Linked DNA regions of Coturnix japonica. The protein of the gene in region 3 binds, or shares a complex with, the protein of the main gene of each other region. Links are inferred from orthologs where the notes say so. Each region holds a gene or a part of one and is shown on either strand. Other genes may lie near its edges.

Region 1 (4,264 bases), about 1.8 Mb from region 3:
TGTGGGATTAATGTACTTCAAGAGCAGCACAGTGGATATGAATGAGGTGATGATCACAAGTGGTTCCAGTCTAACAAAACCCTTGGAAAAACAAACAAACAAACTTGCATCCTCTATCTTAAAAGGCTTCTTTTGTCTCAAGTTAACTCCTTATCTCCACAGAAGTCAAAAGACAGCTTAGCCTATTACAATCCACTTCAGCTTCAGCAATTCATTTTCTACATCTCATGCTTAAATCCTGTGTTCTGAGCACTTGGTGTTATAATGTTTCCTAGTTGTTTATGTCAGGGTTTAAGTGACCATTCTGCTCACCAGTAACTGGCTGACAAACCTCCCCCATCTGTAAGCAAACTGTCTCTCCACTACATTTAAAAAGCCTTCAAGAAGCTCACAGAAAAAAAAAAAAATGGGAACGGCATGAAAAAGACACGTAGACAGATTTCTTTATTAAACGGCTGATGAAGGGGGCATGCAAACCCATGGCATGATATTCATGGAAGAATTCAAACTTTAGACAGTGCAGCCTGCTTAGCTTATGACATCCTGTAAGCTAAAGTCAGTATAATGCCCTTGCTTATTAAAACACAGGGTAATTACCTATCTCTGCTGACTAATTTTAAGTCCTGAACACAGGAGGCTGAAAGAACACGTAAATTCCCTGAGACCAGACAAGCTGTGGTGCCACAGGCCACAATTTGCCCTAACCCTTAGCTGCTGTGTAACACACAGCTGAAGCACCCAGGCTTTGCTGTTTTTAATGGAGAAATTTGGAAAGGCTTGACTAACATCAAGCTTTCCCTGCTACTTAAAGAGCAGCTTAACTGCACCCAATGTGCTCAAACTGGCACTACTGGTTTTGTCTTCCAATTCTTAAGTGTTTCCAGTTCCAAACAAAAACAGCATTTTATTTTTCTCCTTTAAAAAAAGAAGAGAACCAGTTTACTGGTTTCCTTTTATATGAGAGCTTGACTTTAATGATTAACACTGTTATAGTCGAGGCTGACCTAACAGTTTCTTAAATGGTCAATGAATTATAAAAATACTCCTAGGATCTTTCTGGTTAGGTTACAAGCCCTTACATCCTCCACGAACTATTAATCCACAACATTCATTAGCAGGAAGCCATAATACTTTGGCATAAGCCTGCATGCACTTCCTCTGCTCCACCTGCACACTGCATCACACATGCAGGCTCAGTTTGCTCTACAGTTCTTCAACCAACATCGGAAATATGACCGAAAATACTTAACATGGCATCAGCTGCCTCTCATTACTCATGAAAATAGAAATGCTTAGTGAAACTTCTGCATTTATTTAACACAGAAAGAGTGTAATGTGTATTATTTGTTTACCTTTAGAGCAAATCCCAAGGGAAGGAAGAACAGCTCTTTCTGAAAAATGAAGTTCAACATTACGCAGCCATTTTCCAGGTAGTGAAGGTTCATGTTTATTGCGCTGTGCTCTTCTTTAACACAGTGCATCATTATTCCTGCAGGAATTAACAGAAGCAAAAGCCAACATGAGCTAAGCAAGAAATACAGACAGCACTTATGTGAGATGTCCGAGCCGGTGTGAGATGATTCAGTAGATCAGCACAGGCAGCTCAGAAACCACCTGAAAGGCAAGCACTTGCCTCATGCATCACTATGGTGTTACCAACCACTTGGTTTCCTATGTAGTACAATTTACCTGAAAACATGAACACCATGCAACAGCAACAACAAAATAGCAGCTCTAGTTGGTCATCCCTGTTTGTTTATGAGCAGCTTCTGGAGGGATGTGGTAGCAAGGCCTTTAGCTTACCGTACTCTGTGAAGCCAGGACCTCTGTTTTTCCACTTGTGTCTCGACAGTGCAAGAGGGAAGTTGCGCCTGGGCATAATCAGCATTCTAATAACCTTCTCTAAGCCGTTAATTATGAAGTAGCCCCCCATTTCCTGTCAGAAAGAAAAGGCTTTTAATGCGCTTGAAGTATAATTTCAAGTAAAATAAGAAAACGCTTCTACTATGTTATAAAAACACTCAAGCCTAACACTGGCCTAATATACTGCATGTTGTCCTGATACACAAGATCCTCGTTACCTCCTCCTCCTCGTGGTGCTGGATGAGCTCTTGGGGAGAAAGATTATAAAGGTTGCACAATTTGGACTTCACCATGATTGGAATATACCCCACAGGCTGTTTAATGGTCCCTTGTGGAATGCCATTCACTGACCAGCTGATGTCAACCTAAAACGATACAAAGCCAACAGTGAGCAGACTGAGCTGGACTCGTTTTGTTCCCGGTATAATAACCGCAGGACACAGCTCTCTGAACGCTTCCCGAAGCCGTAGCTGAGGTAAGAAACCCGCTCACCGTCAGCCTCCCGCGGTACGTGCTGCGCAGCCCGCGGCACTCGGCCGGGAACACCTTCACCTCGTGGCACAGCGTCCCCTTGGGCACCAAGGGCGGCGAGATGGCGACCCCCACCACGGTGAGCGCCACGCGGCCGTCCTTCAGCGCCAGCTCCAAGGGCGGGATGTCCTGCAACACACGGCAGCCCACAAGTCAGGGCGAGCTCCACCAAGCGCCATCCCCGCAGCCCGCTCGCCCCCCCCGGCACCTGCAGCGCTCGGTACACCCCCTCGCTGATGGCGTAGTTGAAGGACTCGATGTGCGCGGCGGTCAGGTCTCGCCGTACTCCGCTGCGGGGCCGCTGCCGCCGTCTCAATCGGTGCGGCTCGTGGGCCATGCCCTGCTCCATGGCGGCCGCCATGCTGCCTCCGTGCGCCTCCTCCGCTCCGCCCCGCCCCGCCGGCTGCCGGGACACTGCGGGGCGGGGCGGGACGGTCGCGAGGCGGAGCGCGTGCTGCCGAGTGCTTCCCGCCCACGGCCATGGCAGCCATCGCTCCTGAGTGCCGTGCCCGCCCCATGTAACAGCGCCCTGTGCCATGACAGCAGTGCTCGTGTCCCACAGCACAGCATCCCCCTGCACCGCGTCTGGCTGTGCTGCAGCCCTCAGCACCAATCCCCTCAGTGCCCACATCCCGCTGGGCCGCATCCTTCACTGCCTGCATCCCCAAGTCCCTCAGTGTGCCAGCAGCCTGCCCGCCCTCACGGCCCCATGGTGGTGGCACACACACAGATAAGCAGGAGGTGCTTATCTCTACGGAGCAGGCTTGCAGCTCCTGCCTGCACCAACACCATTATCAGGCCTACAAATCACACCCCAAAATCCCCCCAGGTATTTGGCACGTAGCCCTGTTGGTTTGCCTTTATCTTGCTCTTGTACCAAACCACTGCCATGGGGCTTGATGCGCTCCTTGCACCGCACTGGTTCCTCCATCAGTGGATCTGTCACCCCACTGTCCCAAAGAAACACCGCAGCCATGGAGATTTGCTTGTTTTAATGATGCTTGAGGACAGACATGGACACGGCGGCTGGAAAAGCACAAGCTGGGAGCCCTGCCGGCTGTACACGTGCATGCTGACGTGCAGGCGGCCAGCACGGAGACCCAGAGCCATGGCAGGAGTGTCCCATGCACCCCCAGCATCGGCTGCTTTCCGAGCCATGTCTCTCTGCAGTAGCTGACAGTGGGAATGAGGCACCACCATTAACGCATGTATGGCATGGCACAGCTCCCACAAGGAGAGCTGCACGCAGAGAACACTAAATGATAGGACAGGGGACATGCAAGCAATCCTAAAGGGCACTGATGACAACAGGTCACAGCAGCTGAGTGAAGCAGCATATAAGACCTCCACAGACTTCTCCGGTGTTTGTCATGGCCTTCGGTAGGAGCACAGGAGCTGCTGCTGCCACACGGGAGTCTGCAGAAACCCAGAATCCAGCTGGACCAGTCCCTGCTGGTCAACAGCCAGGGCACCTGCATCCTACATCCTTCATGGCTGATGCTGAACTAAGTCTAGAGACAGCCCGCCATATGGTGGGTATCTTCTTGAAACCTAGCACCATCCTTTGCAAAAGCTTAGGAAAGAGACTAAGACCTATTCTACTGCCCTTTGAGCTGAAAGGAGCTAGAAAACATCTGGTTTTGCATTTTTCTAAGAAAAAAAAACACCACCCAAAGTCTCTGAAGGTTTTGCGGGCATTACTTGCAACAGCTGCAGTGCTCAGGCCTCAGCCACACGCATGTCCCCTCCTGCTTGGCTAATACATGGGACAAGAGCTCAGACACTGTGCTGTCTGTCCTCTATCATTTCCCACCCGTGCTTTATCTCAGTGAGCATGCTGAGGGCAGGTGGTAAACAGTGGCAGGCAGTA
Region 2 (2,261 bases), on a different chromosome or scaffold from region 3:
CTGCCCAAGGACAACCGTGAAGCAAGAGGGCACTAAGGACCGACAGCGCTCGGGGTGACGCTTTAACCCAGTCTGTCCCGAACAGCAACGTGCCGCCCTCAAGTTACAAGCATCGCATAGCGCAGCACTCCGCGCGACGCTCACACGGGAGGATCGCACGCGGCTTCACGACGCATCCCCCGCTGCAGCCCAACTTCCCCGGCTGGGGGCAGCCAGTAAAGCTGCAACGCGACGCTCGCGGTGCCACGGCCGCCTCCACCCTCCGGGGAGCGGGATAGCGCCTCAAGGACGGCTTATGCCCCGTTTGCTTTCGCTGCGCGCGGCTCGCCGACAGACCGAGGAACGCTACAGCGGGCAGCCCTGAACCCCCCCACATCACCCCCCACAGCCCCCAGACCCGGAGTTCAGCAACTCCCGACTGACCTGCCGCCGCCACGGGACCGCTAACCTCGCTTACCCCGCTGACCACGGCAGCGCTCCGCAGCCCGGCTTCCTCCAAATGAGCGGGCAACGCCGCGCAAATCGGCGCCGAGCGCAGCTCACGGAGCGCAGCCCCTGCCCGGCTCCTTCCCCTTCCAAAGGGGAGCGAGGACACGGAGCAAACCGCCCCAAATTGGGGACGCCAACACAGCCGCGAGACGGACCGCGCCTGGCGCTACCAGTGCGCGCACCGGGAAGGGAAAGAAAAGGGAGGAAAAGGGAGGGGAGTGCGACGTGCTGCCCCGTCCCACAGCGCTGCCGTGCCCCGCTGGTTGGCGCCGGGCTGCAGCCACCAGTTGCGCTTCCACCCCGCGCGGCTGCGGTACCTCGAGCAGGACGCGATGAAGAAGTGCCTTCTGCAGAAGTCCGGGTGTAAAGCAACAAGTGAGAGCGCGGAAGGAAGGAAGGAGGGAGGGAGGGAAGGGCACGGCGCCTCCTCGGCTCGGCTCAGCCCGCCCCGCCGGTGTCTCCGCTCTGCGCTCCGCCGGCCCCGGCTGCCACCACGCGCCGCGCACGCGAAACGCGATCAGCAGCCCGCCCCGCTCGCAAACACTATTGAGCCGCGCAAGGAGCCGTAGGGCGGCCGCTACCATCCGCCGTCCTGTGCGGGAACGGGGGAGCTCCAGCGCCGCTCTGCATCCTCACGGCTGAGCAAGAACGGCTCGCACCGCCCGTGTCCCCCCGGTGCAGTGGGAGCGGCCGTAGGGCTGCGCTCGGGCAGCTGCAGGAGGAAGCGGCGCTGTGCGAACCATGATCATCCCGGTGCGATGCTTCACGTGCGGCAAGATCGTGGGCAACAAGTGGGAGGCGTATCTCGGGCTCCTGCAGGCGGAGTACACCGAGGGGTGGGTGTCATATTAACAGCACACGCTAATACCTTGCTTTAAACTAAGCTCAGAGCAATCATTGCGTTGCTTAGGAGCACTTACGAGCGGTTCTGACTCGTTTTGTATTTATTTCTTTTAATCGTGTTGTTATTTGTTAATAGAGATGCCCTGGATGCCCTCGGATTGAAGCGCTACTGCTGCCGCAGGATGCTCCTGGCACACGTGGATCTGATTGAGAAGCTGTTGAATTACGCACCGCTGGAGAAATGAGAGTTGATTGACCCAGCCACCAGCTTCTCCCAAGGAAATAAATGAAGGCCGACATCCACTTCACAGCTACAGCTTACATATGTAGATGTTTCTCTTTAATTACATACAGGTTGTTATTGGTTTCTTTTTGTGAACTTTAGGATGCTTTTGCCCGTAAAAAATAAATGTGTTTTATGAAATACAATCATTTGTCTATGTAAAATGTTGAACTAGAGGAAGCCTCTGCCTGTGGCCTTCCTGGAGTTGCTGGGTAGAGTTCAGCATACACTTCCATCTCACTATTTCCTCACAGTGGTCATTTTGAGGTTAGAAATACAGTGTTTGAAGCTAGGGCAATCAAGGGGGGTTAGAAAGAGAGCAAAGTTCCAGGCTCCAGAAACAGCACAGAGGATGTTTGTTTGCTATGAATGAGGCATTACTCTTAGTAGGTTGCAGTGCTAGCGGAGCTCATTTTTTCACTGAAGTCAGCCTATAGTGTCTTGTTAAAAATTGGGGCAGACTGGCAGCTCCATCACAGAAAACAGTAAATCAGGTGGCGCAGTGCTCCTCACTTAGGTAAAATACATCTGAAGGCAATGGATGTGAGAATTAATGCATGTAACTGTGAACAGGATCAGAGTCTTGCCAAACACCTGCACTGCTCTGTTGCTGGTATGAGTGCAAGCTTCCCACTTGTCAGTCATT
Region 3 (3,316 bases):
GGATGAGGCTCAACAAGACCAAGTGCCAGGTCCCGCACTTTGGCCACAATAACCCCATGCAGCACTAAAGGCTTGGGGCTGAATTACTGTGAAGAGGAAAGGGACCTGGGGGTGTTGGTTGATGCTGGGCTGAACATGAGCTGACAGTGTGCCCAGGTGGCCAAGAAGAAAAATTTTTAGGAAATCAGTCATAAACAGTAAGTTACGCAACATGTATAGTGAGAAAGTTGCTTTCATGCTGCATCACACACTGTTCATAGGTTAAGACAGCCTACTAATTAGGATTGCCACATCCAGCCCTGAGTGGATTTTGAGCCACGTTCCAGCAGCCATTTAAATCAGCATCCATACAACTGAACGTAAGATTCACTCCACAGTATCACCAACACAGATTCTATAGTATAATTACCAAGTAGTTCAAGGTAAGCCTGAAATTACTGATTGTTTGTATTTCAGAGAAATCTAAAACTGATAGCAAAGAAATTCTTCAGCATCATCTGTTGATTTACATAATTATTTTATTACAAAATAAATACAAACCAAATGCTTTTAACAGAAATATATATAAAAAATATCTACTGGAGTTGACAGCTCATCTCTTTAGAGCAGCTTTTAGACCAATGCCAATAAAAAAAAAAGCCAGTTTCAAAAGGGTAAAAAGAATGCAGCAAGACCATCAAGACACCTTTTAATCACAGTTGTACAGAGGAATCTCAAAGACCAGATATGCTCAGGTAGGCACTACTGTGCTTATTCACAAATTTCTTGAGAGTCCGAAACTTTTTCACCTGAGCTCTGCAGCCTTGGCGTGACACGTATTTAAAGTACTTGCAATCTAAGCAAGAGAAGAAAAAGCCATGTCAGCTTTGTCATACAAGCAAACAAAACACTTCTGCTTTTTAAGTAACACACAAGCATGCAAGTACCTATTAAATAAGGTAATAAAACAATCAAAGACATACACATTATCAACATAATTGCAGCATCAAATTACTGAGACCTAAACAGGCTTTCAACTCAAGAAACTGTTCTACAGAGTCTGGAAGGTAAGGTACAGAACTGAAAGAATAAAGCTTCTAATTAACTAAAGGCCCAAACTTAATAGATAAGTTATGCTCTCCACACCATATTCTCATTCTGAACTTCGTCACCACTTCTTGATTTCATCAATGTTTCAGTGAACACCACCATAGAAGTCCTGATCTTCATTTTTTTTTTTATTGGACAGTGACTATTTTCACTCAAGACCTCCTTCCTCCTCTTTTCTATGCTTCATCACTCACAAGGTCCTTAAGGATCACCTCACCCTCAGTATTTGCTAAGACATTGCTTAGACTGTAGCTCAGTGAGCAAACTTTCTGTAGCCTCAGGAGCCTGCTGTATATTTTTGAAATTGTGGTTTCAAGGTTATAAACAGAGTCTGTAGTATTGTGACTGCTCAACAAGGCCAAATAAAATTGAACTCAAACCTGGGATAAGGCAAGTTATGCAATGTATGTCTCTAAATGAGGAATATCAAACCATTTTAAATGTTTTTCTCCCATAGAACTTCAAAGACCACAGTCTTTCCTAGAAGAAAGAAACAGCATTCTTCCAGGGAGTAGACCAGCTGCATCTTATCTCATTAGGGCTAGAACTAGGTGTTTTTTCTAGTGTACACAGTGTGAAAGAACATTTAGTATTACCCTTTCCTAGTAGAACTCCAGCCACCAGAGCTTTTTCATACGAAAGGATTTCATTTTCCTGCCAATTCCTCTTTGCTAAGTAGCGGCTAAAATGGAAGGCTGGCCACCAGTCCTTTCTGGAGTTCCACTCCTTCTTAATCCAGTTAAGATGCTTCTCAGAACTGCAAAAAGGTAAAACAAGAAAAACTGAGATGAAATAGTAAAGAGGAGGCACTGAGTTTTATAATCAGCTTGGTGTGCTGGCAGACTTTGACACTACACTGCAGGCTGAACTATTTAAGCAGCAATTTTCTTTTTAAAAGAAAAACTTTGGATAAATCTATGCATAATTAAACACTACTGTATTTCATATACTTACCTTACTCCATTAACTCAGTGGAGTTAACTCGGCAGTGGAGACCTTACAGTATTTTACAATTGAAAACAGGGAAGTGATATTCCTATAAAGTGATTAAGATGCCCTGTATATTTCAAGGTACTCTGAAGTTGTGTTCTCAAAAGCAAAACTACAGGCAAAGTTGAAGTATTGTACCATTTTTCCTAACTATATGCAACAACACTCTCAGTTTTAATCCATTAACTTTCGGGCCTTCTGAGTATGTAGAGGCAGCAATAAAACAGCAAAATGGGTCAAGCGGTACTAAATTGATTCATTGTAAGTATACAAGGCTTAAAAGAAAAATTAAAACCTCTACTTTTGGGGAAAAAAAAACCCCAGACATTAGAGACCTTCTGAGCATGGATTGCCTGGAGATGGAGCTCCTGAAAACAGAGTCCTCCTCCCAACACACAAGCAAGTATTTATCAGTCCCCAGGCACTCTGACTTGGCTTTTAAGAACACATTGTATTCTGAAGAAGTTACCACCAAAGTTATCAAAGAAGAACACGACACAACAGCACAACGCACCACATCCCTTTTGCAGCACACTCATCCTCAAATCTGCTGCAACCAATATATGTTTAATAGCAGAAGACCAAACAATGTTGTTGGGTTTTTTTTCCTCCTGGAAGGAGAACAGTGACAGGCAGTAAATGTTATCCAAACATTTGAACAGCATTTTCTGCATAAACACCTCACCTGGTAATTCAGCTAATGATAATACTGGAAATTTAAGAATTTCTCTCAGTAATAATTTCTTCTTTCCTGCCACTGAAAGCATGCTGCAGCCAAGCACAGCCACAGATCTCAGTACAGGCCAGCCCACTCTTCCACTTGCCATCATGAAAGACAAAGACTACAGAAGAGTCACTTTGTCAACTGCCCGCAGGAGGAGATTTGACACATACATTCCTCTTTTAGCACCTTACATCAGTTACACTCACATTACAATTTGTTTCACCTGTCTCGCCAAACAACTCCATGCTTTTACACTTTCCTTCCAGCCAGCATAATCCAAGACTGCAAAAATAACTTCTAGCCCCAGTCGACGTCTTTTTTGTTTCTCTGGAAAGAAATTAGGCTGATAAATGAATCAGTTGGATTAATACGAACTTACTAGTAAGCAACAGGGAAAACATTCTCCAAACTGCCTTCCCACATACCGCTGCTTTCCCTATTACTGAGGGCTCCCCCCACTGCTTTCTGCCTCTTCCAAGAGAGAATGCCAAGGAAGTGTCCATGGGTCTAGAG

Evidence for each region.
Region 1: TAF1A (region 3) and POLR1B share a complex: the UniProt entries of both Homo sapiens proteins name them as parts of the pol I pre-initiation complex. The link is inferred for Coturnix japonica from reciprocal best matches to the Homo sapiens genes TAF1A and POLR1B.
Region 2: TAF1A (region 3) and POLR2L share a complex: the UniProt entries of both Homo sapiens proteins name them as parts of the pol I pre-initiation complex. The link is inferred for Coturnix japonica from reciprocal best matches to the Homo sapiens genes TAF1A and POLR2L.

Annotation. Positions count from the first base shown.
Region 1 is NC_029518.1:13,944,413-13,948,676, reverse strand, and holds the start of POLR1B (DNA-directed RNA polymerase I subunit RPA2), read right to left. Parts: upstream 2,801-4,264; 5' UTR 2,756-2,800; coding exon 2,603-2,755; intron 2,524-2,602; coding exon 2,356-2,523; intron 2,229-2,355; coding exon 2,082-2,228; intron 1,937-2,081; coding exon 1,804-1,936; intron 1,490-1,803; coding exon 1,353-1,489; intron 1-1,352. UniProt on the Homo sapiens protein: Catalytic core component of RNA polymerase I (Pol I), a DNA-dependent RNA polymerase which synthesizes ribosomal RNA precursors using the four ribonucleoside triphosphates as substrates.
Region 2 is NC_029520.1:8,951,784-8,954,044, reverse strand, and holds POLR2L (DNA-directed RNA polymerases I, II, and III subunit RPABC5), read left to right. Parts: upstream 1-1,147; 5' UTR 1,148-1,230; coding exon 1,231-1,325; intron 1,326-1,468; coding exon 1,469-1,577; 3' UTR 1,578-1,761; downstream 1,762-2,261. UniProt on the Homo sapiens protein: DNA-dependent RNA polymerase catalyzes the transcription of DNA into RNA using the four ribonucleoside triphosphates as substrates.
Region 3 is NC_029518.1:15,725,709-15,729,024, reverse strand, and holds the end of TAF1A (TATA box-binding protein-associated factor RNA polymerase I subunit A), read right to left. Parts: intron 3,131-3,316; coding exon 3,010-3,130; intron 1,847-3,009; coding exon 1,686-1,846; intron 836-1,685; coding exon 714-835; 3' UTR 501-713; downstream 1-500. UniProt on the Homo sapiens protein: Component of the transcription factor SL1/TIF-IB complex, which is involved in the assembly of the PIC (pre-initiation complex) during RNA polymerase I-dependent transcription.